3 linked regions of the Mus musculus genome follow. The protein of the gene in region 3 interacts with the protein of the main gene of each other region in a pairwise test. Links are inferred from orthologs where the notes say so. Each region holds a gene or a part of one and is shown on either strand. Other genes may lie near its edges.

The links.
Region 1: the proteins of Fez1 (region 3) and Pam16 interact in a two-hybrid assay, tested with the Homo sapiens proteins (2 studies listed by BioGRID and IntAct). The link is inferred for Mus musculus from reciprocal best matches to the Homo sapiens genes FEZ1 and PAM16.
Region 2: the proteins of Fez1 (region 3) and Pdcd7 interact in a two-hybrid assay, tested with the Homo sapiens proteins (2 studies listed by BioGRID and IntAct). The link is inferred for Mus musculus from reciprocal best matches to the Homo sapiens genes FEZ1 and PDCD7.

Annotation. Positions count from the first base shown.
Region 1 is NC_000082.6:4,618,363-4,628,557, forward strand, and holds the start of Pam16 (mitochondrial import inner membrane translocase subunit TIM16), read right to left. Parts: upstream 6,585-10,195; 5' UTR 6,492-6,584; coding exon 6,489-6,491; exon of another isoform or gene 6,108-6,488; intron 3,345-6,107; exon of another isoform or gene 3,300-3,344; coding exon of another isoform or gene 3,247-3,299; intron 1-3,246. Other genes in the region: Coro7 (coronin-7), read right to left, coding at 9,132-9,137, 9,248-9,334, 9,822-9,913. UniProt on the Homo sapiens protein: Regulates ATP-dependent protein translocation into the mitochondrial matrix. Inhibits DNAJC19 stimulation of HSPA9/Mortalin ATPase activity.
Region 2 is NC_000075.6:65,342,208-65,352,651, reverse strand, and holds the start of Pdcd7 (programmed cell death protein 7), read right to left. Parts: upstream 6,585-10,444; 5' UTR 6,511-6,584; coding exon 5,644-6,510; intron 1-5,643. UniProt on the Homo sapiens protein: Promotes apoptosis when overexpressed.
Region 3 is NC_000075.6:36,829,149-36,839,518, reverse strand, and holds the start of Fez1 (fasciculation and elongation protein zeta-1), read right to left. Parts: upstream 6,780-10,370; 5' UTR 6,608-6,779; intron 6,487-6,607; exon of another isoform or gene 6,466-6,486; intron 5,946-6,465; exon of another isoform or gene 5,683-5,945; intron 1-5,682. UniProt on the Homo sapiens protein: May be involved in axonal outgrowth as component of the network of molecules that regulate cellular morphology and axon guidance machinery.

The sequences.
Region 1 (10,195 bases), on a different chromosome or scaffold from region 3:
ACAACAACAAAAATCACTAAAGGTCTGTGTGTGGTACCGCATGCCTATAATCCTAGCATCGGGGAGGCTGAGGCAGAGTGATCATGAGACTGGACTTCATAGTAAAACCTTGTCAAATGGGGGCCAAGAAGATGGTTCAGCAATTAAAAGTGCTTGCTCATGTAAACATAAGGACTCGAGTTCAGATCCCAGTATCTGTAATAAGCCAGGAATGGTCTTGCCCTGTGTGTACCTGTTATCCAAGCACCGAGTAGGGTGGAAGCAAGAGGACCATTGGGGCTTCCTAGCCAAAAACAAGTGTTTCAGTTCAGAGAGAGAGACCCTGTCTCAAAGGAAAAAGGTGGAGAGTGATAAAAAAAAGCACACCTAACACCACTGTGCATGCAGCCATGCACAGGTGTGCATACACACACACACACACACACCCCGCTATACAAAGGGGCGGGGAGAGCTAAGGGTCCACAAAGCTCAAGAGAGAAGAGCTTACAAAGGAATTCAGTAATACAGTAAGGTAGGAACCCAGCAATTGGAAGAATACAGTCATGTGTTAAGCTACTGGGTTCACAGGTCTATTCAGTCAGTTTGCTTTGGACAAAGATGCATGGGACCCAATTCCTGCTTTCAGAGCAAGCTGTACACCCACCGTTGAAGCAGAAAAATCAACTCCCATATGGCATTGCCACCCAGATCCCAATACTATGTAAATCAAAGTACCATGAAGGCCCTAGGGAGACTTGACCAGCAGCAGTTTAATGAGGGAATAATCAACAATGGGGCAGAAGTTCTAGGGGAAGACAGCATTTCTCGTAGACTGGGTCTTGAGGTGCAGGTGGAGCCATGTCACTGAGCCACAAGTGAAGCAGGCAGGTCTAGGATTAGACACCCTGGGAACATCCTAGGCTGGAAAACCACCGAAGGGAGGATGGATTTGTGGAGAACCAGTAAGCTTTTTATTGTGAAACAAATATTTGTAGCCAGTATTCATAAAACTGGATCCCACACGGGGCTGGAGCGATGACTCGGCAGTTAAGAGCACTGACTGCCCTTCCAGGGGTCCTGTGTTCAATTCCCAGGAACCACGTGGTGGCTCACAACCATCTGTAATGGGATCTGATGCCCTCTTCTGGTGCGTCTGAAGACAGCCTGTAGTGTACTCACATACATAAAATATTCTTTTTATAAAAAGTTACACATGGATTAAAAACACACACAACTGGATGCCATGTCTGTGAAGTGATATAAAGGGACAAGCCGAGGACTTAAAAAAAAAATGCTCACTGCCCTAGCAGTGCTCATGTGGCACAGCTGAAAGATTGGACCTTTCTTCCTAGTACATCCCTGTGGCTAATTTTCTCAGTCAACAAGTATTGACTGAGCTTGTGTAGCAGGTACTGTGTCAAACACATTCTAGTGCCTGTGCCATTTAACCCCAAGAACTTAAGAGGTTTACTGGAACCAGTGAGAGGGCTGGGATAGCTCAAGTCCTATTACCCATAGCGCCTTACTCCAAAGGGATAACAAGGTGGCCTTGCATCAAGACTCAGACTCTAGAATTCGCCTTTCTGGCTTCTAGGCTCTGTCCTTTCTTTAGCAAGCAGATATAATTATGGGTCATTAGGGAAACCTCACAGTAGATTGGAATTTTATAAGCCCTACCTTCCATATGAGAAAGCATGGCCCAGAGAAGTCCCTTCTGTGATCAAAGACAGGCATGGGGTTGGGCAGCTGTGGCACGGATCAGGAGTAACAAGGCGCTTGCTGACTGGTAATCTCACTTGACTTGTGCCTTGCTCACTTAGAACCACTGCCAAGTAGGACAGGAAGCTTTGAGATGGAATTTGGTTTCTGACTGGCTCTAGAGGGCTCCTGGATCTACAACCCCCCTCAGGAGATCTCACATCACAGCAAGTCTGCCCTTTTTGTTGCCACACATCCATCCCAGGGCCCTGGAAGCAATGATGTACTTTTCTGATAAGGTCCATGACTACTGTTAAATAATGTTAAGAACTGAGGCTGAGCAGGGCAGTGGTGGCGCACGCCTTTGATCCCACCACTTGGGAGGCAGAGGCAGGGGGATCTCTGTGAGTTTCGAGGCCAGCCTGGTCTACAGAGTTGAGTTTCAAAACAGCCAGGGCTGCACAGAGAAACCCTATCTCGAAAAAAACAAAAACAAAACAAAAAAAAGAACTGAGGCTGGCCAGCATGATAGTGCACACCTTTAATCCAAGCACTGCGGAGGCAAAGGCAGGTGGATCTCTCAGTCCAGTGACAGCTCCGGTCTACATAGCAAGTTCCAGGATGGCCAGAACTATATAAACACTCAGAAAGATCTCTATGCAGAGTAACAAAAACAATAAAACAAGCTATAACTTCAGAACCCCACTCCACCCTCAAACACTTCAAGCCTAGAAGCTATTAGAGAAGGCAAAATGCCTGCAGAGGTCCACCAGCCACCAGGGATTTGCAGACAGAACTACCCATGTTTGAGATGTTCTCTGGAGGTTGGCAGACTGATAGAGCATTTATGTAGGCCATCATTGAGATTATCTCCTGTACCCATCCCAGCTTCCTACCCTGGTCAAATTCTCAACCCCTATGTGCCTCAGTTTCTTGACAGCACAAGTGGCTATCAGAGATTGATGTTTAGCATGAAGCCTAAATGACACAGCAGGTAACCAGCAAGTATTGGTCTTCACCTGTTATTATTCTGTTTTAATAAAAGTTTTTTAAGGCGTGGTGGTGCATGCCTTTAATCCCAGCACTTGGGAGGCAGAGGCAGGCGGATTTCTGAGTTCGGTTCTACAGAGTGAGTTTCAGGACAGCCAGGGCTACACAGAGAAACCCTGTCTGGAAAAAACAAAAAAAAAAACAAAAAAAAAAAAAAGTTTTTCAGTGGTCAGGCAGTTAGCCTGGTGGTTCATGCCTTAATCCCAGTACTCAGGAGGCAGAGGTAGGACAGCCACAAGTTCAAGGTCACCTCAGTATACATAGTGAATTCCAGCAAGGGTTATATAAGGAGACCCTGCTTGTTTTTAAAAGAAAGGAAGGAAGGAAGGAAGGAAGGAAGGAAGGAAGGAAGGAAGGAAGGGAAAAGAAAGAAGAAAAGAACAAAACCACAATTTCTTCCAGTCAGGCCCTTTGGTACCTCAGAGGTAAAATCTACACAATGGTCTTCTAGGAGCAATGAAGAAGGGAAAGGAGCCAAAAAGAGGCTGAACCCACTGGAATCCTTCCTTTGCTTTGTAGCCTTGGACAAATTACTCAACTTTTCTGAACCACATCTTAAAACTGCAACGTGAGGAGAATAATATCTGCAGGAGAGGTGTAAAGCCTTGGACTGCCAGGTAAGGAGGGTCCTAGAGTCAGAGCTCCAGTTGGCTTTGCTCTCAAACAGTACCTGCTTGGTGCTCATGGTCGGGGAGTCGATGCTTTGCTCACAGCTGGAGACTTCCCGTGCAGAGCTCTACCAGCTATAGCCCACTCCAAGGGTATTCAAACAGCCATAACTAAGGCCCCTCTAAGAAGGCCTCTAAATAACTCACTGACAAGCCTGCCAGCTCAACTGGTGGGTAACTTCAGACCAAGCAGTAACTGAGGGCAGGCAACATAGACAGGACTCCGACCCTGAAACCTGCCATTAGCAACACGCTACTGTGGGGCAGAGGACGGTGACATCAGACAGAGAACTGCCAAGGTAGTAGCAAAGTTGAGAACCCCGATAAAACTTAAAATGGAGAATGGCAGGAGTTCAGACTAGCTCCTGATCAGGTTCCCGTCCTGGAGCACACGACCATGACACTCCACTAAGGGGACCATGACAACCAGTCACATAGCATGGAACTTACAGTTCTCTTGCTAACGAGTTATCTAGGGATTCCTTACCAATGAGCTTTTCTTCCTGGGTATCCCTTCCTGCAAAAGGTATTTTAATCTCTGGTTCACCCCGAGTAAGTCGCATGCATCTTCACCATTAACAAAGCAGTTTGGACAAGCAAGAACTGTCACCTTCATCAAGGACCACCATGAGGGTGGAAGGTGGGGGCTGTGTCCTACAGAGCAGTGCCTAGTGCCTAAGTCTCCTGCAGAAGCTCTTTCAGCACTCCTGGCACTACCCTGAGCTAAGCTGGATTCCCCACACCTTAGGGCTCATCGCAGGCCCTGTTCTAACTCTCTCTCTCTCTTTTTTTTAAGATTTATTTACTATATGTAAGTACACTGTAGCTGTCGTCAGACACCCCAGAAGAGGGAACCAGATCTCATTATGAGTGGTTGTGAGCCACCATGTGGTTGCTGGGATTTGAACTCAGGACCTTCAGAAGAGCAGTTAGTGCTCTTAACTGCTGAGCCATCTCTCCAGCCCCTGTTATCAACTCTTTGAGGTTCCCAGTGATGTCTGGGTGCACAGGAGTTTGAGAACCACAGCCATCCTCTCAGCCCCCACTGTCTATCACCTTTATCAACATGATCCCCCCATCTTAGACTGTATTTCACCTCTCCTGAGCAGTATGTTGGTGACCCAAGAACCTGGCACCCCACCATCAAGAAGTAAAGCAGGAGGTTTATCCCTCAGTTTACCCCAAGTATCCTTCTAATACCCCAGTGGCAAGGTGGAAATGCAGACCACCACATTTCATTTCCCAACTGGGAAGCAATATGGCACAAAGAACCTCAACAAGGGTGGTGAGCAGGGATCCCAAAAATGATGCTTAAGTCATGGAAGTGCACTAGGAGGGCCCTAGCTTTCAGGTCTGTGTACAGTGTTCCTCCAGTGCACAGTGGCAGGCCTTACAAATAGTTACTGGTGTCCCAGCTAGACAGGAGGAAGGTGGGCACTACAATGGCATTTATGACAGTGTTTCTGGGTCCCTACTGGCCTGAACAGCACATATCTGAAAGAACATGATTGTTCATGAATCAACACTTTAATCAAGTCACTCTTAGCTCTGTTTGGTCAAAGCTACAGTCTCATACAGTCCACTCCCCAGGCAGGATTTCTGTATGCCTCCAATGCTGAGGAAAGGCTCTGGCGGGGGCCCAGTTCTTGCACAGTGCCCCACCTCTGATGCACTGCACTGACCTCCTTCCTATCTAGACACTGTCAGAGACTCAACACTGCCAAGGCATGGTGGTAGTAGTGTCCTTGGGAAGCGGAGGCAGGAGGGTTTGAGTTATAAAGCATGACAGTACCCCAACCCAAACCTGGGCCATTCCTAAGGACCTGACAAAATTAGACATAATCGGACTCCCAGGGGTAATCTTCTAGGCTCCTCTTACCTCACCTTCCAACAGTACTTTCTCATCCTCTTTTGGATGAGAAATCCATCTGGGGATGGATTTAAGGCCTTTTACCTGTGGTGGGCAAGCACTGCAACACTGAGCTATACTCTCAGCCCTATGTACTAAAGTTGCCCTGGAACTCACAAATTCCTGATCTTCCTGGCCCAGCCTTTCAAGTGCTGGGTTTACAAGTATAAGCCTTACACGAGCAGCTGAGGTAAGTTCAAGGTGGAATGTGGAGAATGCACGCTAAAGACCGAGTTCCACGAGGAACCAACAAAGGTTCTTACTAAATGGCAGCGACCTAATTACAAGGAATAATATAGTGGCAAATGTTTAGTCTCAGAACAGAACACGAACAAAGCTGGGGCCAAACTGACTCTTGTGGGAAAGATGAGCTTGGAAAAGTCAAATTCTCTGAGCTTCAAATCCCTTAAATTAAAATGGGGACGATTGAGAAGGCTTAAATGACAATCTACATAAAGCTTCAGCTCCAGACAACGCATTGTGAGCGGTTAACTACTACCTACTTTCCCATGGTCAAGGAAGATGCTCCCAGCTGGGTGAGATGGCGCACACCTTTACTGCCAGCCCTTGGGAGCCAGAGGCAGAGACAAAAGGATCTCAGTGAGTTTAAAGCCAGCTTGAGCACATAGGGCGTTCCGGGCGAGCCACACTATCTATATACATAGTGGTACTTAGTCTCAAACAAACAGATAAATAGGCTTCCCTAACCTTCCAATCACTTAGGGGCAAATCTCAAGAACCTGCGGGCAACTTTCAGGTGCCAATGGTGCCAAAACGCTCAGCCTTTCTGGTTTCAATTCTAGCAAGTCTCAGGTCTACCACTTCCTTGGATGAGCCAACTGTCAAACGCGGTTAAAAGCCAAGCGACACAACACCAATATCGCCGAGTCCTGCCACTCAGGAGCCGGCCCAGTCAACGACCGTCTCCTCCCACTGCCCACAGCGGACCGCGCACGCCGAGGCAGGGAACGCACAGGCCGGGATTGGCCGGGAGCTTTCCGCCAACCGAGCCTCGATTCCCCGGTCCGCGGTCGTCACTGCCCGGGCACCAACGACCGACCGGGCGCCACGCTACAGACTCTGCTTCCTGTGAGGAACCCGGGGGGCTCACGGCATCAGGACCAGAGCCCGCTGCTGGACTCCGATTTGACCTCCCTTCCCGAACACCCCATCCCGGGCCTCACCATGGCGGACGCTCCACTTTAGGGGGACGGGTGCCGCTTCCCGACCCAGTGGGACCAGCTCAAGGGTTGCTGGTGGGTCAGAGGTCAAGGGAGACCGGAGAGCGCGTGCGCAAGGACGCGACGCGTTTCCAGAGGCGTGACTCTCGCGGCACCGCGCATGTGGGCGGAGCCTGCCTCGGGGCCAGAGGACCAGTGGGCGGCCCCAGACTTGGTGCAGTTTGGTGGCCTTCCCTTCATTTTCCCAAAACACTTAGGAAGAAGCTATCATATGAAATAAACCAGAGTATAATAGGGTTGGATGTTAAAATCGCTAGAATATTTAAGAGAACCAGGTATTTCAAAATAGGATTTATTTCACATTGCCCCTTCTGGTGAAGCTCTTTCCTAGACGCCTGAGGAACTGTTTCTGCCCATGTTCAGTCAACTTTGTAATCTAATGCCATCTCCTCAGTGAGGGCCACCAAGTCCCCTACTACAGTGGCATGCCCAGCACGCTGTCCTGATTTCAAAGGTCTGAGGTGTCCTTTAAACATCAGATGCTTAGTTTATTCTTTTCTGATTTTTGTTTGTTTTGTTTTTTTTGAGACAGGGTTTCTCTGTGTAACTCTGGCTGTCCTGGAACTCACTCTGTAGACCAGGCTGGCCTTGAATTCATTGCATTCTGCCTGTCTCTGCCTCCTGAGTGCTGGTATCAAAAGGCGTGCGCCACCACTGCCCAGCTGCTTCTGGAATCTTTATGCCAGGTTTGGTCTCTAGTCAAGCTTCTTTGCTTGGTTTGCAAAGGCTTCTCGTCAAGTCCTCACAAGACCTTCTCTGGTCTGTGTGTCTGTGTGTTGGGACAGTTCCATCAAGACAGCCGTAATTCACACACCAAGCAGTTCCACCTTTTGGAGTGTACAGTTCAGTTTTGCCATGACCAACATCCAGATCAGACCAGTTCTTGCCCAGCAGCCACGCACGTCCCTACTTTGAAATCTACTCATCTGTACTTTGTGTCTGGGTTTCTCCTCAACAGTCCACAGACTCAGAATCGGAACAACACATGGTCTTGTGACTCCATTATCATTTCATGCTTCCTTTTTTCCCCTTAGTTCTCAATTTGTGCATCTTAACTCCTTTGGCAAATTTCTACCTCCAGAAATATTTACATTGTGATATATAACAGTACCAAAACTACAGTTATGAAGTAGCAATGAAAGTATTTTTTATGATTGGGGTTCACAACATGAGGAACTGTATCAAAGGGCTGCAGCATTAGGAAGGATGAGAGACACTGCTCTATGACATAATTCTTCTTTTTTTTTTTAACATTTATTATCATTGCTATGTCTCCTACTAGAGTAGGCACTCACAGTGAGCAGGACATTTATGCCTTTACTCCTAGCTATCAAGCACCGGGACGGCTGCCTGGCATGGGTACTCATGTATGTTTGGTGAATGGCCTTAAGTCAGATGCCTCTAGACTAGTGGTTCTCAACTCTCCTAACCCTTTAACATAGTTCCTCATGTTGTGGTGACCCCCAACTATAAAATTATTTTTGTGGCTACTATTATGGACCGTAATGTAAATATCTGTGTTTTCTAACATGTTAAGCCACCTGTGAAAGGGTCACTTGACCTCCCAAAAGGGTTTGTGACCCACAGCCTGAGAACCTCTGACCTAGACCAGTGCCCAACCTACCTCCACACTCTCCCTTCCCTGCGTACAGTGCTGACCTTCCATTTGCTTGCCATTGGGTCCTGCAGATCTTAGTTTTCACTTTAGGAACGGAAACATCTCCCCCTCAGGCCCTGACCCTGCCATGAGCCCAAGTCAGCTCCTTTTCCGTTTCCTCATTGCTTTCCTATGCACCACTGGTTCCCTAGTGTAACAGAGCTGCAGTCAGCGGAGCGCCATCTTTCCTGTATATTACAAGGAACGTGTAGCAAAGTGAAACCAGCACGAACAGGAACAGACCCAAATCTTGCTCGCTCACTCATATCCCTGTATCCTTCTTTCTATATTCCCAGGGAGTGGAGCAGCACAAGAGGCAGCCAGCTTAGAAAAGTTTAATTGCTGGAAACATCCAGAGCATATCCTATATAGGCTGTTTGTTATGGGGTCCACACCACTGTAATGAGGCTGTTAGCGCCATGAGACCCTTTCTCCTCAAGCCAGGAGAAGCAGGACAAATGGTCCTAGGCCCCTAAGGAGAAAGCGGCTCCCAACAGCTTGGTGGGGGACCAGCCCCCAGTGTCCTTGACTGGGGCTGGTGCAGTAGGCAAGACAGCTTGGCTTGTAGTAACTGAAGATATTAGAGGAAACCAGCAGAAAGACTGGGAGAGACAGGGCATCCCGAGTTGGCCCAGAGACATGCTACTGACACCTACCTCCCACCCACTGGTGTCACATGCTAACAGGCAGCTGAAGATAAACAGTTGGCTCCAGAGGGTTAAGGAGCAGGCAGTCTCTGCAGCTGCATGGAGGCCCCACAGCTGTGGAAGTGCCTGAGGCTTGCGTGACACCCAGGGCTTCTGAGCTGGATGTGCGTGCCAGGGCCAGTGCAGCATTGTCCAGGTTGCAGAGATCTTAGGTGTGGAGGGCAGCAGGTAGTTGTAGGAGGTGGCAGTGGCAGCTGTGATTAGGCGTGCCTCGCGTGCAGGCTAGTCCTGGGGTGAGGCAGGAAGCAGGAGTTAGAGGCCTGAGAGGTGAAAGAATGCAGCACACTGTCTCCAGGACAGTGCTGCTGGCTGAGGGAGCCGGGCCAAGTGCCACTCACCCACTCATCTTCATCCACCCCTTCAAAGGAGTCCTGTGGCAGTGGGTCTTCTCGGTTCCCCAGCTTTGCTACCATGGCATTCAGCAGCTGCGAAAGTGAACAGGAGAGGGACCGAAAGAAATGACTCTCCGACCTCAAGAACTTAAAACCCCATTTTTAACCCCAACAATGCTAAAAAGCGCCCTTTCAGTTAGAACTAAGTTGTTGGGTTTTCATTGTGAAACACAGTAAAAAGGGGTCAGAGACAAGAGACTGTAGCACGTGGAACCTGACATGAGGAGCCGCCATCTCTTGTGCATTGCCTCAAAGGCTCAAGTGGACACCAGGCTGACCAAGGGCTTAGGTCTTCAATCTTTAATGTTGGTTAGGTAAAGGCTGGCTAGCATGTGTGCCTCTTGCTGCCCTCCCTGGCTTCCTGTGCCCTGGGTGTGACTCCCTACCCAGAGTCTGGTGTGGAGACAGGGGTAACACGTGGTTCTTCCTGCCATCTGGATTGAGGCTCCTGAGTTGGCAGATAACTAAGCGCATGGGGGACACTGCCTGTACCACATAGCAGCCCTCTCCCGAGGTTCACCTCTTCTTTCTTTTGTTGGTCAGACTTCTCTTCCAAGTATTGTGCTGAAGATGGGGCTCTTCGGGCAGGGACCTCACGGGGGGCCTGGCTCACTGGGGTAAAGCAAGGACAGGCATCAAAGAAGGTGCTGTTTAGAATCAACCCTCAGGGAATTTGCTGGCACAGATCAAAGAAGTGGCATTAACAAGTTATTAAAGCCCCTGTTCACCAGGCCTGCCCATAGCACCAGGATATGTATATGTAAGGATACTGCATGTGTTAAGTATACAACACATGCATGTGTGTGTACATATGCATATGTGCTAGGATAAAACACAAGCCACAGAACTTGCTCTCCAGGGGTTCAGAGACTGGGTCTGGAGACATGTCTAACA
Region 2 (10,444 bases), about 29 Mb from region 3:
ACATATGTATACAGTAGAAAGTAACACTTTCTTAGACATTATGGCATAAAACATGTTACAGATATACCTTACAACCCTACAGGTCAGGCATTGTAAAAGGATCTAGCTATGCTCTAAAGGAGATGCTCATAAAACAGAAAATATAGGATCTCCCAAAGACAGATTACATGATGCTATTGAATTAAAACTTAAATGTCAATGAGACACGTGGCACAGCCGCTGAATGAAAAGCACTGGACTTAGGAAAGGACAGAGAATGAAGCCCGCCTAGGTATGTATTGACCTCGGAATGGAAGTGTGTTGCATTAGAGAAGAGTTTTGTCTTTGTTTCAACAGCAGATAAAAAGCTATGGATTCTATTAAAATGAATAAAGATCAGATTTGACCGGGGGACACCCTGAAAATTCTGGCTGCAGACATGAAGAAAGAAACTAGAAGAACAAAGCAGGTGGTAAATGCTGATCCCTCTACATGGGACTGGCTGTAAGGCTGGCTAAGAAATACCTCTACATGGCCAATAAATCTTGTTGGCTAGAGAGGCCTCAGGAACTATTATTACAGAGAGGAAACAAAGTAAAGGAAGTTAGATTCAGAGATCTCTTTCTCTTTTTCCTTCTTTCCCTCCTACCTAGTGTTACAGGAAGAGGTAGAGAGAAGGAATGCAAAGATAAAAGGGCAGATTACTGAATCTACTTTTAGACTAAACAGCATTACAAGACAAAATATTTTATATTTCGTATGGATTCTGTATAGTGATACAAATTTAAGGTTATTTTTGCTACAAATACTGTATCTATGTTTTAACTCATTAAAGGTATTGTACCTATGCAACTTATTTGAATGCAATGTGAAGTGCTAGTCCTGTTGTAAGCTGTTACTGCAAACTGTTTAGGATAATAAGGAATCCGACTTGCTCTTACTCTCTCCTCTCCTCTCTCCCTTGCTCCCCTTCTCTCCCCATCCCCTTCCCCCTCTTTCCACGTGGCCATGGCCGGCCTCTACTTCTCTACTCTCTTCTCTCTGTCTTTCCCCACCTCTACTACCCTCCTAACTCCCCTCCCCATGCCCTAAATAAACTCTATTCTAAACTTAAAAAAAAATAAAGAAATACAACTTAGTAGTCAGTCAAACTTATAATTATGTTAGGTACTAGTTTAATATATTACAAAAATAAGCTTTCTTTAGCCTCCTGTAGATTTTTCAAAGTTGAACAGATAGTAACTAGCTAGAAACAAGCAACATTTCCTATTCAGATATACTACAGATAATGATCTTCAAAACACCTCAGAGATTTACAGAATATGGAATTTTAGATGTTTTATTAATAAAGGCCTTTCATGACAGTGAAACATGACTCTTCCTGGCAGCACCCCTATTCTACTTCAAATAAGATGATGAGCATCAAAGACCCTTCATATTGAGTTTGTCTCAAATTTGGCAAGCTGCCACTGGGCAAGAACCTGCCCTTGTCTTTACTGCAGACAGCATGCTGTCCAAGCTGCGGGCAAGCAGAACACAGAAGCAGCCAACTGCCAGACTTGCAAGGAAAAGGTAGGCAAGTCTTTCATGATTCTTGCTTCACAGAAAGGTCTGTCCTATGTTGGGACAGAAGACCAAAGATAGATACTCCCATGTAGCAGTGGAGCCTTGGATGTCGCTGTATCTGTCATTTCTATAGTTCTGGAAGCTGCTTGCTTCCAAAATTTAATTTCCTGTTCACTCAAGTAGTATCTATTCCGTCTCAGGTCTCTCACGGGGCTGAAGACTAGGTAGTTACAGTCTCATAACTAAGCTTAAGTTGCTTAGGATTCAATATTTATAGGTTGGTAAATGTGAGTTGTGATAGAAAGTGATTTAAGTGCAGAACGTTGAACTCATCAAGACAGGACAGATAGTAGAGTACTTTCTCCAAGGCTGCTAAATATAAATGAACTGGACATTGTGAATGTAACTTTACCTGATAGTTTTCATAATTGTTCTTCCTGTATATTTTACTAATGTAAGAGAAAGAGCCTTGTATTGGACTAAAAGAGAGATATCTTACTTCAGCCTCCCACAGGTGTGATCCGCCTCTCCCAGCTGGTCATACAGATGTCTCCCCTTTTTTGCTTTTGTTTATCTCTGAGAGATGATCTCACTCTGTAGGCCAGGCAGGCTTCAAACTGCAGCACTTCCCCTGCCTCAGCCTCCTGAGTGCTGGGAGCACAGTTGTGAGCCACCCCACCCAGTTCCACATAACCTTCCTTAAGGAGACCCTCTCTGCAGTAGCTTCAGTGTCTGTACTGAGCCCTTGTTCCTCAGTGTTTCCTAAGGGATGGTACAGGGAATGCCTGAATCTAATTTACCTTGTCAACCTGGAACTCTAAAAATGCAAATTAACAGTCCTGAAAGATCCGGCTCCCAAGGAGGGTAAGGAATGGAACTGGAAAAGCCTAGGACTCTACAATGCCTCTTAAGTAATACTCTTAAGTTTGCCCTTCACTGCTCCTAAAGACAGCTTCCACACAATCATCTTTCACACATAGGAGGCCAATCTTCCTAGGATTTATTTGCCTTCCATATCCTCATCTGCTCACTTAGTTCTCTCTCCCATCTGTCTTATATAAGTGCCTGCAATTCCAGCATTACAGCCAATGACCATGCCTTCAGTCTTCTGCTAGGAAAACTACCCTTGGCTGGATCTACTGCTTTTTTTGTTTGTTTGTTTGTGTAGCTCTGGCTGTCCTGGAACTCACTCTGTAGACCAGGCTGGCCTCAAACTCAGAAATCTCCCTGCCTCTGCCTCCCAATTACTGGGATTAAAGGCATGTGCCACCACTGCCCGGCGACTAAATTTTTTCAGACTAAAGTATTGCCTCCCTTGTGCTGACATTCCTGAGGTACAATGCTAAATCTATCAATACACTTTCCAGCAATGCCATATTGGCCTATAGGGCAGTGGTAGACACTGGAAAAAGGGAGATTGTGCTGGCTAGTTTTATGTCAACTTAACACAAGCTAGAGTCCTTTGGGAAGAAGGAAACTCAATTGAGAAGCCATCCCCAGCTCCACCACCAGAGCGGCCACTGGGCAAACCTATGGTGCATTTTCTTAATTAGTGACTGATGTGGGAGGGCCCAGTAAAACTGTGGGTGATTCTACCCTTGGGCAGGTGGTACTAGGCATATAAGAAAGCACCTGAGCAAACCATGGAGAGCAAGCTAGCAAGCAACATTTCTCCATGGCCTCTGTGTCAGCTCCTGCCTCCAGGTTCCTGCCCTGACTGGCTTTAATGATACACTGGGATGTGGATGTGGAAGTGAGATGAACCCTTATCTTCAAGTTGCTTTTGCTCATGGCATTTTATCCCAGCACTAGAAACCCTACCTAAAATGAGTGCTTGCTGACTGTACAAAGTAGGAAGGGCAGAAGGGCCCTCAGCACTGTCTCAACAACACCTGAAAACCACCAACAGACATGCTAGCACAGAAACAACAACACCTGAAAACCACCAACAGACATGCTAGCACAGAAACAACACCACCTGAAAACCACCAACAGACATGCTAGCACAGAAACAACAACACCTGAAAACCACCAATAGACATGCTAGCACAGAAACAACAACACCTGAAACCCACCAACAGACATGCTAGCACAGAAACAACAACACCTGAAACCCACCAACAGACATGCTAGCACAGAAACAACAACACCTGAAACCCACCAACAGACATGCTAGCACAGAAACAACAACACCTGAAAACCACCAACAGACATGCTAGCACAGAAACAACAACACCTGAAAACCACCAATAGACATGCTAGCACAGAAACAACAACACCTGAAAACCACCAATAGACATGCTAGCACAGAAACAACAACACCTGAAACCCACCAACAGACATGCTAGCACAGAAACAACAACACCTGAAACCCACCAACAGACATGCTAGCACAGAAACAACAACACCTGAAAACCACCAACAGACATGCTAGCACAGAAACAACAACACCTGAAAACCAACAGACATGCTAGCACAGAAACAACAACACCTGAAAACCACCAACAGACATGCTAGCACAGAAACAACAACACCTGAAAACCAACAGACATGCTAGCACAGAAGTGGAGCAGCTCCAAGACCCTCAGCCAACTATGGGCAACTGGGAAACGCCGAGAGCAAGAGAAACCGTTTTCCCCAGGGATGAGCACCTCAATTCATTATTAGTGGTCAGCCCTGAAATCATATACATACAAGTAACATTAAATGTACTAGTCAGGTTGTATTTATGTATACATGTAACAATAAGTAAAGAAAGAGAGGCCATGAACTTGAGAGAGAACAAGGGAGATGCATTGAGAGGCTGGAGGGAAGAAAGAGAATGGGGGAAATTATGTAATTATATTTTCAAAAACTAACAAATATATGTATATATAAATAAAACTAACATATATATAAACTAGAATAATGGGTCTGCAATTAAGAGCACTTGTGACTCTTACAAAGGACCAGGGTTCAATTCCCAGCACCCATACAGATGGTTCATCACCATCTGTAACTCTAGTTCCAGGGGATCCAATGTCCTCTTCTGACCCCATAGGCAGGAGGCACATATGCAGTGCACATACACACACAGGCAAAACAATCACAAAACCCAAAATAAATAACTCTGAAACAACAATAACAATAGTAATAGCATTCAAAGGAAATGAGGATGTCTTCAACCTACACTTGGCAAATCCTACTTTCTCCCGGGTTCTACTGAAGAACATGAGACAGACAAGCTTTGAAGTCATACAACTTGGGACTAAATCTGAGGTAATATTGGTATACAGGCTTGTGTGACTGCTGTCAAGTTAGCTGCTTTAAGTCTCAGTCTGTAAAATTAGGGTAATGAATTCCTCGGGATTGTGTGCAGGACACTAGTGTAGTGTCTACTATAGATATGAGTACTGAACAGGGGTAAGGAAGGCATGGACAAAACAGCACAGCAACCTGAGAGACCAGTGGGACCGGGCTATGCACACTCTCCAAAAATAACCGGAGTATCTCATGGGCCTTGTGGCTGCCAATCTGTTGACAGTGTTTTCCTTTCTAATCTGCACTTGCTACTTACTGCATTGTTTTTGAATATAGTTTTCCTGCTATTTTTACAATTTTGTGTGAGTCCTTAATTCAATCATTTGAGTAAGAGGCCAAGTACCTGGAAACACCTGATCCAGACAGACCCACTCCACCGGATACACTGGTATTCATAGTATCAAACCAAAACAAATGAACCCGGGAGAGAACTATTATCAACCTCATCAGCCAATTATGTTATAAAGGTTTCTAGGTGTGGTCCAAGTCCTCTACATTTGCATGCTTTAGGACAGTATAAAAGATACTGCTCTGCATCTTCAGTAAGTGGATCCAACTTTGAAGCAGGACACAAGAGGTGTGTCCTCCCAGAAATGCACCAGTGTAAACCTGTCGCGTGTTTAAGGGACTTTATAGTCCAAATTCTAGAGTTTTATGCACCACACATCGTCAACAAGGAATACAGAGCAAAGAAGTGGCAAAGGCTAGCTTTCGCGGATAAGCATACAAGTTAACTAGCACGCAGATTCGAGTTCCAGACACCACAGCTCCAACCACCGAGCGCATACTGGTTCTCACCCGCTTCTTTTCCTCCACTTCCTGCACGCACTTCACCCTCCAGCGGTCAATCTCCTGCTCCCGTTCCGTGGCCTGCGCGGCCTCCGCCTCCCGCTCAGCCTCCCGATCCCGGGCCCTCTCACGAAGCCGCAGCCGGCGGCGCCGGACCCTCTCCAGCCTCCGTCGCGCCTCGCCCACATAGGCGGCCTGGGCCAGCGGCTGCAGCCGCTCCGCTAGCTCCGCTCGTAGTGGCGCCGCCTGAGCGTGCAGGGAGGCCCAGGCTGCTCCGTCGGCCTCAGCCTCGCGCAGGGACTGCCCCAAGCTGCGTAGCCGCCGCACCAAACGCAAAGCGGAACGCAACCGCGCGCGGACTTCACCCAGGCTGGGCCCGGCGGGTGTGCGCGGGGTCCGGAGGCCACCGGGCCGCCGGGGGTTCCCGAACACCGCCTCCAGCCACTGCCGATCACGCAGGCGCTGCAGGGCCGCGTCTCCGAGCACGTCGGGCGGCGGCGGCGCCTCCGCCCAGCGCGGGCTCCAGGGCGGCCCGGGACCTGGAGGCGGTGGCCGTGGACGCTCGACGGCGTCGGGCCCCGGGAAGGGCCGGCACTGCGGCGGCGGCGGCGGCAGCGGTGGGGGTGGCACCGGGAAGAAGGCGCCGCCACCGCCACCGCCGCGGGAGGCCTCGGCTGGCGCGCGGGGCTGCAGGGCCAGCGGAGGCTGGAGGAAGGGGGCGGAAGCCCCCGGGAAGGGGCCGGGTCGCTGGGGAAGGGGCGGCGGGAAAGCCGGAGAGGGCAGCGGCGGGGGCGGACAGCCGAATGGAGCGGAAGGCGGTGGCTGCGGAGGGGGAGGTCCCTGACGGCTCTGGGCGAAAAAAGGTGGCAGAGCCATGTCTGTAGTGCAGCGGTTGGGAGCAGTGACAGTAATCTGGGAACTTCTTTATCCGGGTTCCAGGAGGAAGTGACGTGTATAACGTGCGACCGGTGCTTGACTCACTTCCCGGAAGCGAGGCGTAGTGCAGGACCTTGGTTTGTCGTGCCAGGAAGCTTGAACCTTCCCAAACCACCAAGGATCCGTCTCCGATGTTAGGGTTTATTTCGGGCTCAGGCTCGGGCTCTCCTCCAAATCGACCTTAACACAGCAGGACAGAAAGAGAAGGCGGAGCAGCCCTGAACCCTCAGTAGAACAAGTTTTTATAGAAAAATAAAAGCTGAAAGGAAATAAAACTTGAGACATGTGATTCATGTAATTTATGTCAAATAGCCCAAAGAGTTGTTTGTGAGCTTTGAAACCTGGGGCTGAGAACATAGCAGAACAGGCCAGGACATGCCCCCCTATCTCCCGCCCTTCTGACAGTCTGTTGATGTTTAAATGAACCAATCATGTGAAACCTCGCCAATTCCTCCCCCAGCCCCATCCCTTTTCTATAAAAATCCCTAGCTTCCAAGCGTCAGAGTCGAAACCACTGTCTCCTGTGTGAGATACGTTTCGAACCGGAGCTCTGCCATTATGGCTCCACCATGTGGTCGACACCTCTGTCTCCTGAGGGAGATATATGTCGGCCCGGAGCTCCGTCATTAAACTACCTCATGCTTTTACATCAAGATGGTTGTCTGTTCGTGATTCTTGGGTGCGCTCCGAATGGAAATTGAGTGGGGGTTTCCCCACTAGGTTCTTTCAAAGCGAGGGAGGGGTTGTCCAGTCTGGCAAGCATCTAATAGAATGACTATAAGCCAATAGTTGGGTGCCCTGAATCGTGCATTTGATCACAAACAGTTTGAAAGTACATCTGAAACAATCAAACTAATCTTTGATTAACTGTTGCTAGGAAGTAGCTAGGGATTAACTCTGGCCAAGGACAAGCCATGGGGTCCTTTCTGGTATTTTGGTGCAGCTTGAGTTCTGCTTTTTTCTTTTCTTGAAGATGGAGGCTGGTCCCAAGATGGAGTAGGTTTGGCCTCTCCAATTCAGTCTTGAATTCAGAAATCCTGATGATTGTTAACGTTCTAGAGGGACTAGAGACACGGTCTGAAGCTCCGGCTAAGATCTGAAAGACAACAAAAAGTTATGAGAGGAACACAGGATGGAAGCAGCAGGTACTAGTGATTTGCAGTATGTCTGCTGGGGGTCGAAAGAATGCAGGGTGTAAAACACAGAAACACAAAGAGAAGCTAGGTGGTCTTGGAGAGATAGATGTTACAGTGTCCATATGTCATATTGATAGAACCTAGTGGGGAAACCCCCACTCAATTCCCGATTTGGTGTGCACCCAAAACCCAAAAAATCACGAATAGACCGTCTTTGATGTAAACACACAAGGTAGTTTAATGATGGGGTTCCGGACCAACATGCATCCCACACAGGAGATAACGGATGTTGGCCACAGGCTCGAAAGCTAGGGGTTTTTATGGGGTAAGGAGCTTAGGGGTGTGGAATTCAGCATAGCGACATGCTATTGGCTTATTCAAACATCAGCAGAAAAATTACATGTACGTGCAGGATGTCAGAGTTCTATGAGTTGTTGACTCAGTTCAGATAGCCCTGTTATGTCCTCACATTCCTCTTTATCTTTATGGTCAAGCTGTTCCCAGGAATGTTTTAACTATGGGGCATGCCCGGGTTTGTTTTTCTTTTTTCTCAGCCCCAGGCAGCCTCTAGGCTCACAAACAACCAGCAATTTCTGAGTACTTTATATGACATACAGGTCTTGAAATTTCATCTTTCTTTCAATATCTTTGATTTGCTTTGATCTTCTGGCTGTTCTGGAACTGGTTCCCTAGACCCAGCTGGTCTCGAACTCAAAGAGATCTGTCTGCCTCTGCCTCCCCAGTGCTGAGATTCAAGGCATGAGCCACCACTGCCTGGCTCCAGGGTGTCATGTTTTAAAAGAAAAGAAGGAAGGAAGGAAGGAAAGAAGGGAAAGGTAAGGAAGGAAGAAAGGAAGAAGGAAAGAAAGAAAGAAAGAAAGAAAGAAAGAAAGAAAGAAAGAAAGAAAACTGACTAATGGCTATAAGCCAGAATTGTAAAGGGAAATCCTTCCATCTTATTAGTTAAAAAAGTTAAACTTCTTTGGTATAAACTTAAGACTCACATTCAGCTGTAAGAAACAATACAAAGGAGCCTGCGTGTCCTTTATCCTGGTTTCCCAACTTGCAACATCTTACAAAGCTGCAGTGCATTTTCCCTTTTAGAACCACACCATTTTTATCCCTTAATCCACCTTCTGAAATCTCAGTTATCACTAATTCACATACTAAAAGAGTTGTGTGTGTGTGTGTGTGTGTGTGTGTGTTCACTAATCCAGGAGTGCACTCACAAGGAGGCTCAGAAAGCACAGTGTGCTATCAGAACTGGAGATTTATCTATCTGTGTTTTATTAGTATTATTCCTGACAGGATCCCATAAAATGAATTTATACTTCTGTTTGATCATTTTGTTCCTGGGGGAGATTAAAGTCATGTACCACCGCCACCTTGTTCACTAAATCTAGAATTTAAAAAACTACTAATTTACAGAGATCTACTTGCCTCTGCTGTGATTAAAGGCACGATCTACCATAGCCCTGCTCAAATATTTTATCTTATCTCCAAAAACACACCAGCTCTTGGATATTTAGAAATCAAAGTTTGAACTGTAGTAACTCTTTGAATTTACTTGAAATATTTTAAATCTCTTAAATGTGTTTTTAATACCAAACAACAAAAATATCTGAACTGGAAATTTCTATTTCTTTGGAGACTTAGTTGTGTCATGTAATGTTTTTCTGGAAACTCTTAAGAGAGGATGTTTTTGCTGAAGCAGAAACAAGGGAGGGTGTTTTGCTGAGAACAGACATGTGGTGTTTTGCTAGATCGGATACTTGAGAGAACACGTGGTATTTGGAAAGGGTATAAATATAACCCAACAGACAACGAATGGATAGCACTGTATGGTATTGGTTCACCCTGCCATTCTTTGTTGGTATTCATTTGTCGGGACTATATAAAAAGAACTCCTGATGGTGTTCTAGAAGGGAGACTAAAGCATTTAAGCATTTTCTGCCCATACTGAGGCAATTTCAGCATTAGTAAAAGGTACCACAATTTTTGTTGGGTCTGTTGGGTCTATTCCTGCTCTTTGACAAAGTATTGCAAGATATAATCACACTGTGAACCTGAGATTGTTTTATTTACTAAAAAACCCTGTTTCTACTTGTGGTGTGGCTCAACCCTTAGCACACACCTTTAATAATCCCTGGATGGAATACAGACATGCCCTTAGTATACACCTTTAATCCCAAACAATGAAGGTAAAATCAATTTGTAGAAGGAAGCATCAAAGATTGAAAATGATGTCTAATTGAGAGGCAAGATTGAGAAGGAGATAGAAGATAGAACATATTGCCAGAGTTAGTATGAGGCCAAACAGAGAATTCAGGAAAATCAGAGAGAAAGAAACCAGACGAATCAGTTAGTATGGAGGGGAGTTTGAGCCAGAACAGCCAAGTTGAACTAGCCATCAAAAATTCAGAAAAGCTAGAAAGGGTGAGTTTATTCAGCAGTACATCTCAGAGTCTGAAAATCATTCTATACCTAGATTAGATTTTATAGAAGTCTAGAAACTTCCAGGACTAGGCCTAGGTTAGCAGATGGAAGCAGTAAGCTTCAGAGACAACAATTACAACAAAGAGGTACATTTACAACAAAGTCTCATTTTTCCTTTCAGAATCAATTCAGAAACCTCTTATACATAGGTCTTTAATTTTTTACTGTTTGTGTGCTAAAAATATTTACTCTAAAATGGTATCCTATTCTGTAAAAACTCCTGTGGGAGAATGAGCAGAGGG
Region 3 (10,370 bases):
GGCTGTGGTGGTGTATGCCTTTAATCCCAGCACTTGGGAGACAGAGACAGGTGGATTTCTGAGCTGGAGGTTAGCCTGGTCTACAGAGTGAGTCCCAGGACAGCCAGGGCTATACAGAGAAACTCTGTCTCGAAAAAAAAAAAAAACCATAACCAAACCAATCCAAAACAAAAACAACCAAACAAACAAACAAAACCAAAAACACTTTACTCCCCATGTTGTTCTTAGTCACTGTGTTTCGTCACAGCAGTAGGAACCCTAACTAAGACCATTCTCAACACAGAAAAAGGAGATGCTGCCAAGACTCATAAGTGCAGTGGCTGGCTGAGTGGCATGTATCCCAGGTTTGATTTCCTTATGAATTACTATAAAAATACTGGCACAGAGCAAAATGAGCTTGGGAAGCTCATTTTAATAGCTTTATAATCTTAATTATAGAAACATATTTACTTAATCCAAAATACGACTATATTAATACATAATTCATATTAAAAATACAGAGCCAATTTTGAGGGGGGATTGTTTGTTGTTGTTGTTGTTGTTGTTTTGTTTGTTTGTTTTTTCCAGACAGGGTTTCTCTGTATAGCTCTGGCTGTCCTGAAACTCACTTTGTAGACCAGGCTGGCCTCAAACTCAGAAATCTGCCTGCCTCTGCCTCCCAAGTGCTGGGATTAAAGGCATGTGCCACCACACCCGCAGAGACATTTTTTAAACTAAGTCATTTTATAGTTACAGTCTTTCTTTAGACTAGCCTCCTTGCATGTACTAAACAGCTATGCATGCCTACTGGTCACTAAGAGATTTCATAACACACACACACACACACACACACACACAAGAACAGAAAGAAATAGGAAGTTCCAGGCTGCCTGGCTACACAAGTTCAATGTTACCCTGGCAACTTAGTGAGATGCTGTATTAAAAAACAAACAAACAAACAAACAAACAGAAAAACCAACAACCCATATCAGTTTTCAGATGTGAGTAGATAACCTGGAGAAGCCATAACAACCAGAAAAGCAAAAACGTACTGTGAGACATGAGGAAGGAGTGCTTAAGGGGAATAGGAGGATACAAGTGATACAAAGGCACAAAGGAGGAAATGAGAACATCCTTTTGAGTTGTTGGTAAAAAGAATCCGTAGATTCCCCAAACTATAGAGGCTATCATATTGCCCTTGGATGCCCATCAGAGGTTAAAGGTAAGTTCTTAATTGCTGAAAACACTGTGTATTCAGACAAAGGACTTGGGGTTGTATGAGCTCTGTCTGACCTGAAATCCCCCTCCCTAAGAACTATCTTTCACAGTACCAAAAGGTGCTATGCTAATCGCCAACAGAGGGAAGCAAACAATATTCCTACCTATGAGCTGCAACAATGACCAGCATAGCAAGAGATCCCTAAAGGTGCAACAGTGATATTCATATCTTAATGGTAACCAATAGTTGTCTAATTAGACTTAGGGTCTGCTCAATAGGAGGGAAATAATCCCTGGCACTGAAAACCAATAAACTAGATAATGAGGCTGTGGATCTTAAAGAAGAAGAGTCTACTACTGCCACTTTACTAAACCAGCAGAAAGGTCAAGGTCATTCTCAACTATATAACACATTTGAGGTCAGTCTGGGTTATATGAGACCCTATCAGAAGAAAGAAAGAAAGAAAGAAAGAAAGAAAGAAAGAAAGAAAGAAAGAAAGAAAGAAAGAAAGAAAGGGAAAGGAAAGGAAAGGAAAGGAAAGGAAAGGAAAGGAAAGGAAAGGAAAGGAAAGGAAAGGAAAGGAAAGGAAAGGGGAAGGCAGGGAAGGAGAGAGAGAATAGAAGAGAAGAAGAAAGAGACGAAGAAGAGAAGGAAGAGGAAGAAGAGTTGTTCAACACAGAGAAAAACACCAATTGAAGGACAAAGTGGACGGGGGAAAAGTGAGAAGGTGTAGAAATCCCAATGATGGGTCAGAAAGTGAAAGGAGTCCCTGGGAATTCTGATGTTAGGTGACGGAGATCTAGAATGACTGAAGCTCAGCCCAGAGGAACCATTGTAGACAGTAAATGAGCCAAGAGTAACTCAAGGTACCAAGAAAGGGGCAGAAAATTCAAAGGATGAAGACACTGTGCACACCAATAAACTAAGAACAACAAGTCACTGGGGCAGTGAAGATATTTAGTAAAGACATTTTAAAAGGGAAAAATAGTTTAGTAAAAATTTCACCATCAATTTAAAAGTAAACTATGTAAACAACAGAGTTGTCCAGGTTCATAAAGGAAGGTGCCAGGCAGCTCTGAGAAATAGCAGTTTAAAAGGTTGGGAATAGAGGTGCTGGAGAGATGATTTGGTGCATAATAGTCCCTGATTTAATTCCCAGCACCCACACGGCTGCTCACTACAATCTGTTAACTTTAGCCCCAGAGTGTCCTACACCCTCTTCTGGCAGACTTGGACACTGCAAGAACATGGTGCACATACATACATGCTGGAAAACATCCACACATAAAATGAAAAATGGGGAAAAAAAAGAATTTTGGGAGTATTTGGGAAAAGGTGTTGCAAAATGAAGCCCTAAAATTTCTGACCATGGTGAGAGAGAGAATGAGAGAGAGAGAGGAAGGGAAGGGAAGGGAAGGAGAAGGGGAGGGGAGGGGAGGAGGGAGGGGAGGGGAGGGGAGGAAGGAGGGGAGGGGAGGGGAGAAAGGAAGGGGAGGAGAGATGGAGGAAGAGTAGAAAAGATCTGTGCCAATGAAGACTATGGTGGTCTGTTATCTGAGAATCCAGACCTTATCTTATCTACCTTAGCTGTGAGAATTTGTGCAAACTATCTGCTTGTTGTGCCTCTGTTTCCTCATCTACTAAATGTGGTTTAAAATAGTGTTTGTGGGGCTGAAAGATGGCTCAGTGTTTAAGAGCACTTGCTTTTGTAGAAGACCTAAATTTGGATTCCAGCACTCGCAACAGGCCCCAGTAACTCCAATTCCATGCTATCTTCTGGCCTCCAAGGCTCCCCACATACATATGTGCATACCACCATGCGCAAGCACATACACACATAAGAAAAACATTTTAAAATAATAATAAATAGGGACTGAAAAGGTGGCTCAGTGGTTAAGAGAACTTAGTGTTCTTGCTGAACCTTGGTTTGATTCCCAGCACCCACATGGCAGCTCACAATCTTCTGGGTAAGGGGATTTCTAACTCCCTATTCTGACCTCCAAGGGCACTAGGCATGCATGTGGTACACAGACATATATGTAAGAAAAACACTCATACATACAAAGTGAATATATCTAAAAACTTGTTTAAATAATAAATAAAGTTACATCTGAAGGCTATTTGGCTTTCCTCAGAAAATCAGGATATACTACTTACATGAAAGTGTGGAGGCCAGAAGTGGTGGCTCACAGCTCTAATTCAAACACTCAGGAGATAGTGGCAGGCAACTCTCTGTGAGTTCAAGACCACCCTGGTCTACATAGTGAGTTCTAGGTCATCCAGGGTTGCATTTTTTAAACGAAAGAAAAAATATCCCTGCCATTATATGTAGTGCATGCTGCTTCGAAATTGCTGGAGGGATTTGGGAATCTTTTTCATCAAGGCTTTTTAAAATTCATTTTGTCAAAATTTCCTGGATCACAGGCCTCATTTCTGAGAGATTCAAAAGCCAGTCAGTTAACTTCAGATACTTAAACTTCCTTGAAATGGGTGTTTCTCTCTGGGAGTGACAGGATCTAGGATAAGAAGGTGATGCTAGCAAGGATACTGATTCCATCAGCAAGCAACAACAGACAACCCAACCAGAATCCAGGACTGAGGCCACCTGAAGCCATTTGTGGTGATGCACACTCGAAATCCTAGCACTGGGTTGACGGTGGCAGAAAGACTTGATGGCCCTCCCTGGCTACATAGCATGTTCCACCAGGCTTGGGGATGCATGAAAGCCTGCCTCAATCAAGCACGTCAACAAACGTACTGAGCTTGGAATGCTGGAAAACCAAACAGAGATAAGTGCTTAGGAGTTGGAAGGTGTCTTAGTGGTTAAGAGCACATACCGACTTCGATTTCCAGCACCCACATAGGGTGGCTCACAAATGCTTCTAACTCCAGCTTTGGGGTCATCCAATGACTCTGGCTTTCAATGCCCCCTGAACTCATATGGCCCCTGCACACATACACATAAGTAAAAATAATCAAAATAAAATGGAGTATCAAAAAGAGAGTATATTTGACTCAGACAACCCCTAAAGAATAAAAATATACCTACAAAAACTATAAAAAGAAATAGGCCTCTAGATGTTCTGTCGGTTAAAAGTGCTCACCCTGCACACGTGACGACCTAAGTCTGCTCCCTGGATCCCACAGTAGAACTAATTTCTGAAATTTGACCTTTGTGCTGTGTGGCACATTCACGTCTACACTCACACACACACATCACATACACACAGCCAATACTTTTTAAAAATAAAAGTTTAAAAAAATGGCTATAAAAGAAGACATGGATATCAAGGTTCAGAGTCCAGAAACATTGTTAGTTGAAACAATCTATAATATTGTTTTCAATCTATAGTATTGGTTTTTCAGCAACTCATCACCCAGGAGCCGTGAGGTACTCTGTGAATGATCAGACAGATGATGCTAAAACTGAGCTTGTATATTGGGAATTTGTATTAACATGGTTTCTAACCTGAGTGGAGCATTTGTATCTGGGGCTGTGGCAGAGTAAATGAGAGTCAAACCTCAAGAAGGGGTTCCCAGGCTTGGAGTGCTGGCATATCCCATTCATTTGGCCCCCCTACCTTCTTTCTCTAGTCCATCTTCTTTTCTATTCCTCTAGGTAGACTGCTTTCACTTCTCATCTGAAACGTCTGAAGTAACCCTGCATCCTTCCATCCTGGCAAGTTTGCTGGCTCCTCAGCCTTAGCTTCTCTCCAAGTCCTCCTCCCTTAAAAGCTAACGTTAAGGCTACAGGAGCAACTAAGCCACAGAGCGTTTGCCGCGCATATGTGACATCTAGGGTTCTGTCTTCACACCTCCCACCCTCCTGCCACACACACACACACACAAGTTAATGTTAATAAAAGGAATAGCCATCTTCTTTGTGATTCCAAAATAAATAAATATGTGAAAATGGCAGAGAGGGATCATGGGAAACTCGTCTTTTTATTATTGAACACAATCCAGGACTATAGTGTAAGTGTTCCATACAATCTATTCCACTTATTAGGACTCCAAATATGTGGTGTAATTTAGAAGAGGAACGCACAGTCCTCAACAGACACTCGGAAGGAAACATGGGAAAAAGCCTCTCCCTGCAGCCTAACAGTACAGAAGCTGCAGCTTGGGTCTGCAGTACAAGTCCCCAGTCTGCTTCACTGAGCTGAATGCATGGTGGATGAGAGGGAGATTTCATCGTGCCTCCCCTGCTGGGCCTCTTTGCACCTCCACACATGCCATCCCATCTCCCTGGTCTTTCCATCACTTGTTCTGTAGACCAGTTGACTCTGTGCTTCCCCTCCCATTCCCATATAGATCCTTAAAATGCCCTCTGTTATCCACTTCCAGACTCCCACTGCTCTTCTGCAAAACCTGGCTAGTATAAGCTGTCCATTTTGCCAGAAAGAATAAATACTCATTTGCACATGGCTCAGCAACCCCTTCACCGGACTCGGTACCCTCCCCCCCCCTTCTGTTCCATTCACCTCCATTTCAGACCTCCTCTCCCTCTTCTGTCGGAGTAAAGAAAGGCTCTTCTAGGCAGCACAATGGCTGGCACTCTGAGGATGCACGGCTCATCCCACGCAGCCCCTGCTCATACTCCACTGTCTTCCCTTTGCCAAATAAGACCTGGTCACCGGGATGGGTGAGTCGTACTTGGAGACAAGATGCAAAGGGAAAGACAAGAGGGCAAGAAGAACGGATTGTATAACACCCCTTCAGCTGAACCTCCGCTCTGCAGCACCCTGGGCCCCAAGGATGAGGGCGGGCTCTGCACACTCCTTTTCGTCACACTCGTCCTTTCTCCAACCTGCTCTGTGTAGTAAAACAATCGCTCCCAGAGGACTGCAGCCAGAGGGTCTGACACTGCGAGAATGCCCCGTCTGAGGAAGGCTCCACACGCCGCGGAGGGGCACAAGTAGATTGCAGGATCAGATTCGTAGGGACAAAGATGATTTTGAGACGCCTAAGATAAGCGGAACACATAACGGTCCTGGAATGACATATGGAGTCCACATTGCTCCAGCACCATCAGATAGGGTTTCCCGGCACTGTGTTGCACATGAACACACACACACACACACACACACACACACACACACACACACACACACACACACGATGCTCTGAGATGATGCTACCAGTACCCACTCCGGGGCCCTTGAGCTTGAGCTCCCGCAAGACTGGGAAAGACCAGGACGACGGCCCACGAACCCTTCTTTTTACTTCTGAGGAAAAGACCCAGAGGAGATGAGAGTAGCGCATACCCGAGGAATCCTATGAGAGAATCTCCAATCCTCTGGTCTTCTTCACCACCCGAATTCGACCCCCCCCCCCCCCACACACACACACACCCGCCCCCAGGACTGGGGCTAGTCCAGACTAAGATCGCCTTTCCCACCACCGCACCTGAGCGGGTCCTGGAGGAAGGAATCGGATCCCAGGGCTCAGCCAGACATCCCCAACCACCGACTAGAGGTGGCCCGGTGCAGCACAACGTCAGCGGGCAAGCCAGCCAGCGAGCGCTCCCCCGCTGCTCCGGCTGCGCCTGGTCCCCGCGCTCGTGCCCGGGCTCCCGGAGGCGCGCCCGCACTCGGGAACCCGCCTAACGGGCGCGCCCAGGGCCTGAACGTCATCCTGTCGTGAACACTCATAGCTTCCTTAGAGCACGTGGACCTACCTTTATTAATATTTATGAATTGCCGTTCCTCCCTTCTTTGATACTGGCCCTTCTGCTTCCCACATGAATATTCAGAAGCTCCGAGATGGGGGCGTGCAATCGCTACCAATATGGATTCTTCAGATGGCCCAACACTAGGTTTTGTATAAAAATGCAGGCAAATGGAGTAGATGGGCAGGCAGATACTGACAGACACACTCAAAGAGCCTCTGGCACTTTTTGGACTGCCCTTCCTATTCTATTAGGGGTTGTAGTGGACAAGCCAAGAGGTGCGCCTTACTCCAAAGTCGTTCATAGCTCCAAGGTGAGGGGGCTGGATGGTGGGAATAATTTTGTCATCCAAAACTGTGGAATGCAAGTGAGAAATTTGAGTGAGGGGGATCCAGGAATAGAAAGACTTCAGACTTTACACCTCACACGTTGATGTGCTGTATGTAAATCTGTGCTTAGAGATGCTATTCATATAAAATCTAATAATGTAGTTTTAAAAAAAAGAAAAGAAAAAGAAAGAAAAGAGAAAAGACAGCACAAGAGAGGCATGTCTGCCTGGTGACACCTCCTAATTTTGTCTGATTTTAGGCCAAACCAAGAATGACAGCCGGGAGGTGAAGGGGGTCTTCCCTATGTTGATTTATGCACTCTTATCACAACAGTTCAATCATGAGGGGCAGGGAAGGCAGGGGGACATCATCTCTGATGAAATTAGAAAAAGTATTAGCCATTCTGCCCTCCTGGTAATTAGAAACATGAGGGTGTTTTTCTTGTTAGAAAAAAAAGTGGTCATGAGAGCTCAGCAGGTGAAAGGTGCTCATTGTCTAAACCTGAACCCGACTCTGGGGACTCCCATGAATGTGCTAGAAGAGAACTGAGTCCACAACATTGTCCTGCAACCTCCACAAGAGCACTATGGCAACTGCACCTATATACACACACACGCAAAACAAGAAATAGATGCTAAACCCTATTTTTCTGGCGTCATGTGGTTTTGTGACCTTGGGAAAGTTATCCTTGCTGCGGCTCACGTTTTCATCAACATAATGAGGGTTATACCTCCCACTTCCGAGGCCTGTTGTTAGATTAAGGGAGTGAACTCATGCAATGCACTTCTAGGAAGGAGAGGAGGAGCTATGACCCTTGGCTACTTCCTTAGCAGAAGCTTTAATGCACTTTTCTATGCTGGTTTTGATTGGTGATGGTGGTACGAGGTGTAGTGGAGGTTGGGGTGGGGGCTCAAACCATGTAGTCAAGGGTTGATCTTGAACGTCTGATATTTCCACCTTCACCTCCCGAGTGCTGAGACTACAGATGTGTACTTTCATACCCACGGCTTGTTTTTTGTTTTTTGTTTTTGTTTTGTTTTGTTTTTATGTGCTGCTGGGAATTATTGTGCATGCTTCTCAACTCCTAGAAATTATTTCTTAGATCTAGAAAGATGGTTCAGCAATGAAGAGCACTAACTGCTGAGAAGCCAAAATTCCATTCCAGGAGATTCAACACCTGCTTCTAGCTTCCAAGTGTCCCTGCAACTCAAGTGGTATATATATATATACTCAGACATCAACACATAGTTATTACAAAAATAAATAATACATCTTTTTAAAAAAGACTCCATGTGCAATATTCAGAGTATGAGAGAGGCTTGTGAGGAAAGTACTGGAACTGAGAAAGAGTTTGGTCTTTGGGAAAGAGTTTGGTCTTTGCAAACCCCAGTGTTCCAGCTGAGCATGGTGGCAAAAGTGTGCACACCCGGCACTCAGGATGCTAAAGCAGGAGTAAACACTTACTCTTTTAACTTTAGGGCTAGTCTGGGCTACATGGAAATTAAATTATGCAAAATGATGTAAAACACCTGGAATTTGATATTCAGTGTTAATTATTTTGTTACTGGTTTTGTGAGGATTTGAAAGCACTTCCTGAGGACTGGTGGTCTAGATGCCAGCACACACACAGACCAGCTGAAATAGTGACATGTGCCAAGGAAGGAAAACTCAGTACAGATTTGGTAATGATATTTTTTTTCTTTTTGGTTTTAGGTGCTTTGTTGTTGTTGTTGTTGTTGTTGTTTGTTTGAGATGGAGTCTTGCTGTTGGTATGGTGTATCTCTAGTTGGACTCAGTATATAAACCAGGCTGTCCTTGAACTCAGAGATTGTTTTGTCTTTGCCTCCTGAGGATTAAAGGTGTATGACACCTTTATGACTGACCATCTCTATCTTTAATCTCTTTCTCCCTCTCTCCCTCCCTCTCTTTCTCCTTCCCTCTTTCCTCTCTCCCTTCCTTCTTCCCTAAGAGTCAGGATCTCAGACTATAGTCTATTCTGGCCTTGAAAGCACTATACAATATGCCTTAAACCCACAGTAATCCTCTTGTCTCAGCCTCCCAAGACTGAGATGTTGTGTAGCTATTTCCTCTGATTTGTATGGTTCCATCTTGAAGGAAAGAGGGAAGCTAAGACTCAGGAAGTAAATGACATATCCAAGGCTCAGGAATCTCCTGAAAGTCACAAGATTCATAAGTGCCCTACTACCATTACTATAAGCAGTAACAATTAATTGCTGGAGAAGAGATTTTAACCAGCCACACTGTCTATAAACTGTGTGTGGAGCTCCAAGGAAAAGACCATTTGTCACCCATGCTGCAGTGGGCTTTTCAATGACATTTGAGTTAGCTATGTTTCTATAAGTAACCATTTGCCTGTACTTCCAATAAACAAATAACCCAATAATGCATGCTCACTGAGCCAGATGTGTGTGGAGTTGTTTCTCTGGTCTGTTGTTGGTACCTTATCTTGGGTGAATAGACCTTGTTCACCTCTCCCCAGGAAAAGTTACACACTATGGGATTACAGGCATGAATCACTACATCAGCTCACCCTTAATCACCTGTGCTGATTAAAACTCCCTGGTTTATTATGACAAGGGATATAGAATGTTCCCCAAATTTCAAAATATATTCTTAGCTACCTCATTCGAAGGCAGTTATTCTCTACCACAAAACATGTATGCTAGGAACCAAACCATATTACTTTGAAAAAGAATAGACAGTTACATAGATATTGATAGCAAATAATTCCAGAACACCTACCTGATAAAAGCATAAAATGCCTGGGTGTAATGATACATGCCTGTGATCTCGGTCTTTAGAAGGTCAGAAGCAAGACCAGGTCATCCTTAGCTACACAGCAGTTTTCCTATCTGGTTCTGTGAGAGCATGCCAAAAAACAAAACAAGCAAAGAAACACCAGCAGCACCAGCAGCAGCAGCAGCAGCAACAGCAACAGCAACAGAAACAGAAACAGAAACAGCAAAAACACCCCCCACCAGAACATACACAAAACTAGCTGCCAAAGTGATATCCCTGAAGAGAATTAAAATTCCCATAATATAAATGTGGCAATAGTTTTTCTTTTAGCTTTAGTTTTTTTTTCTTTTAGTGTTTTCATTGTTGCTTGTTTTTTGTTTGTTTTGTTTGAGATGGGCCTTCCCTACATAGC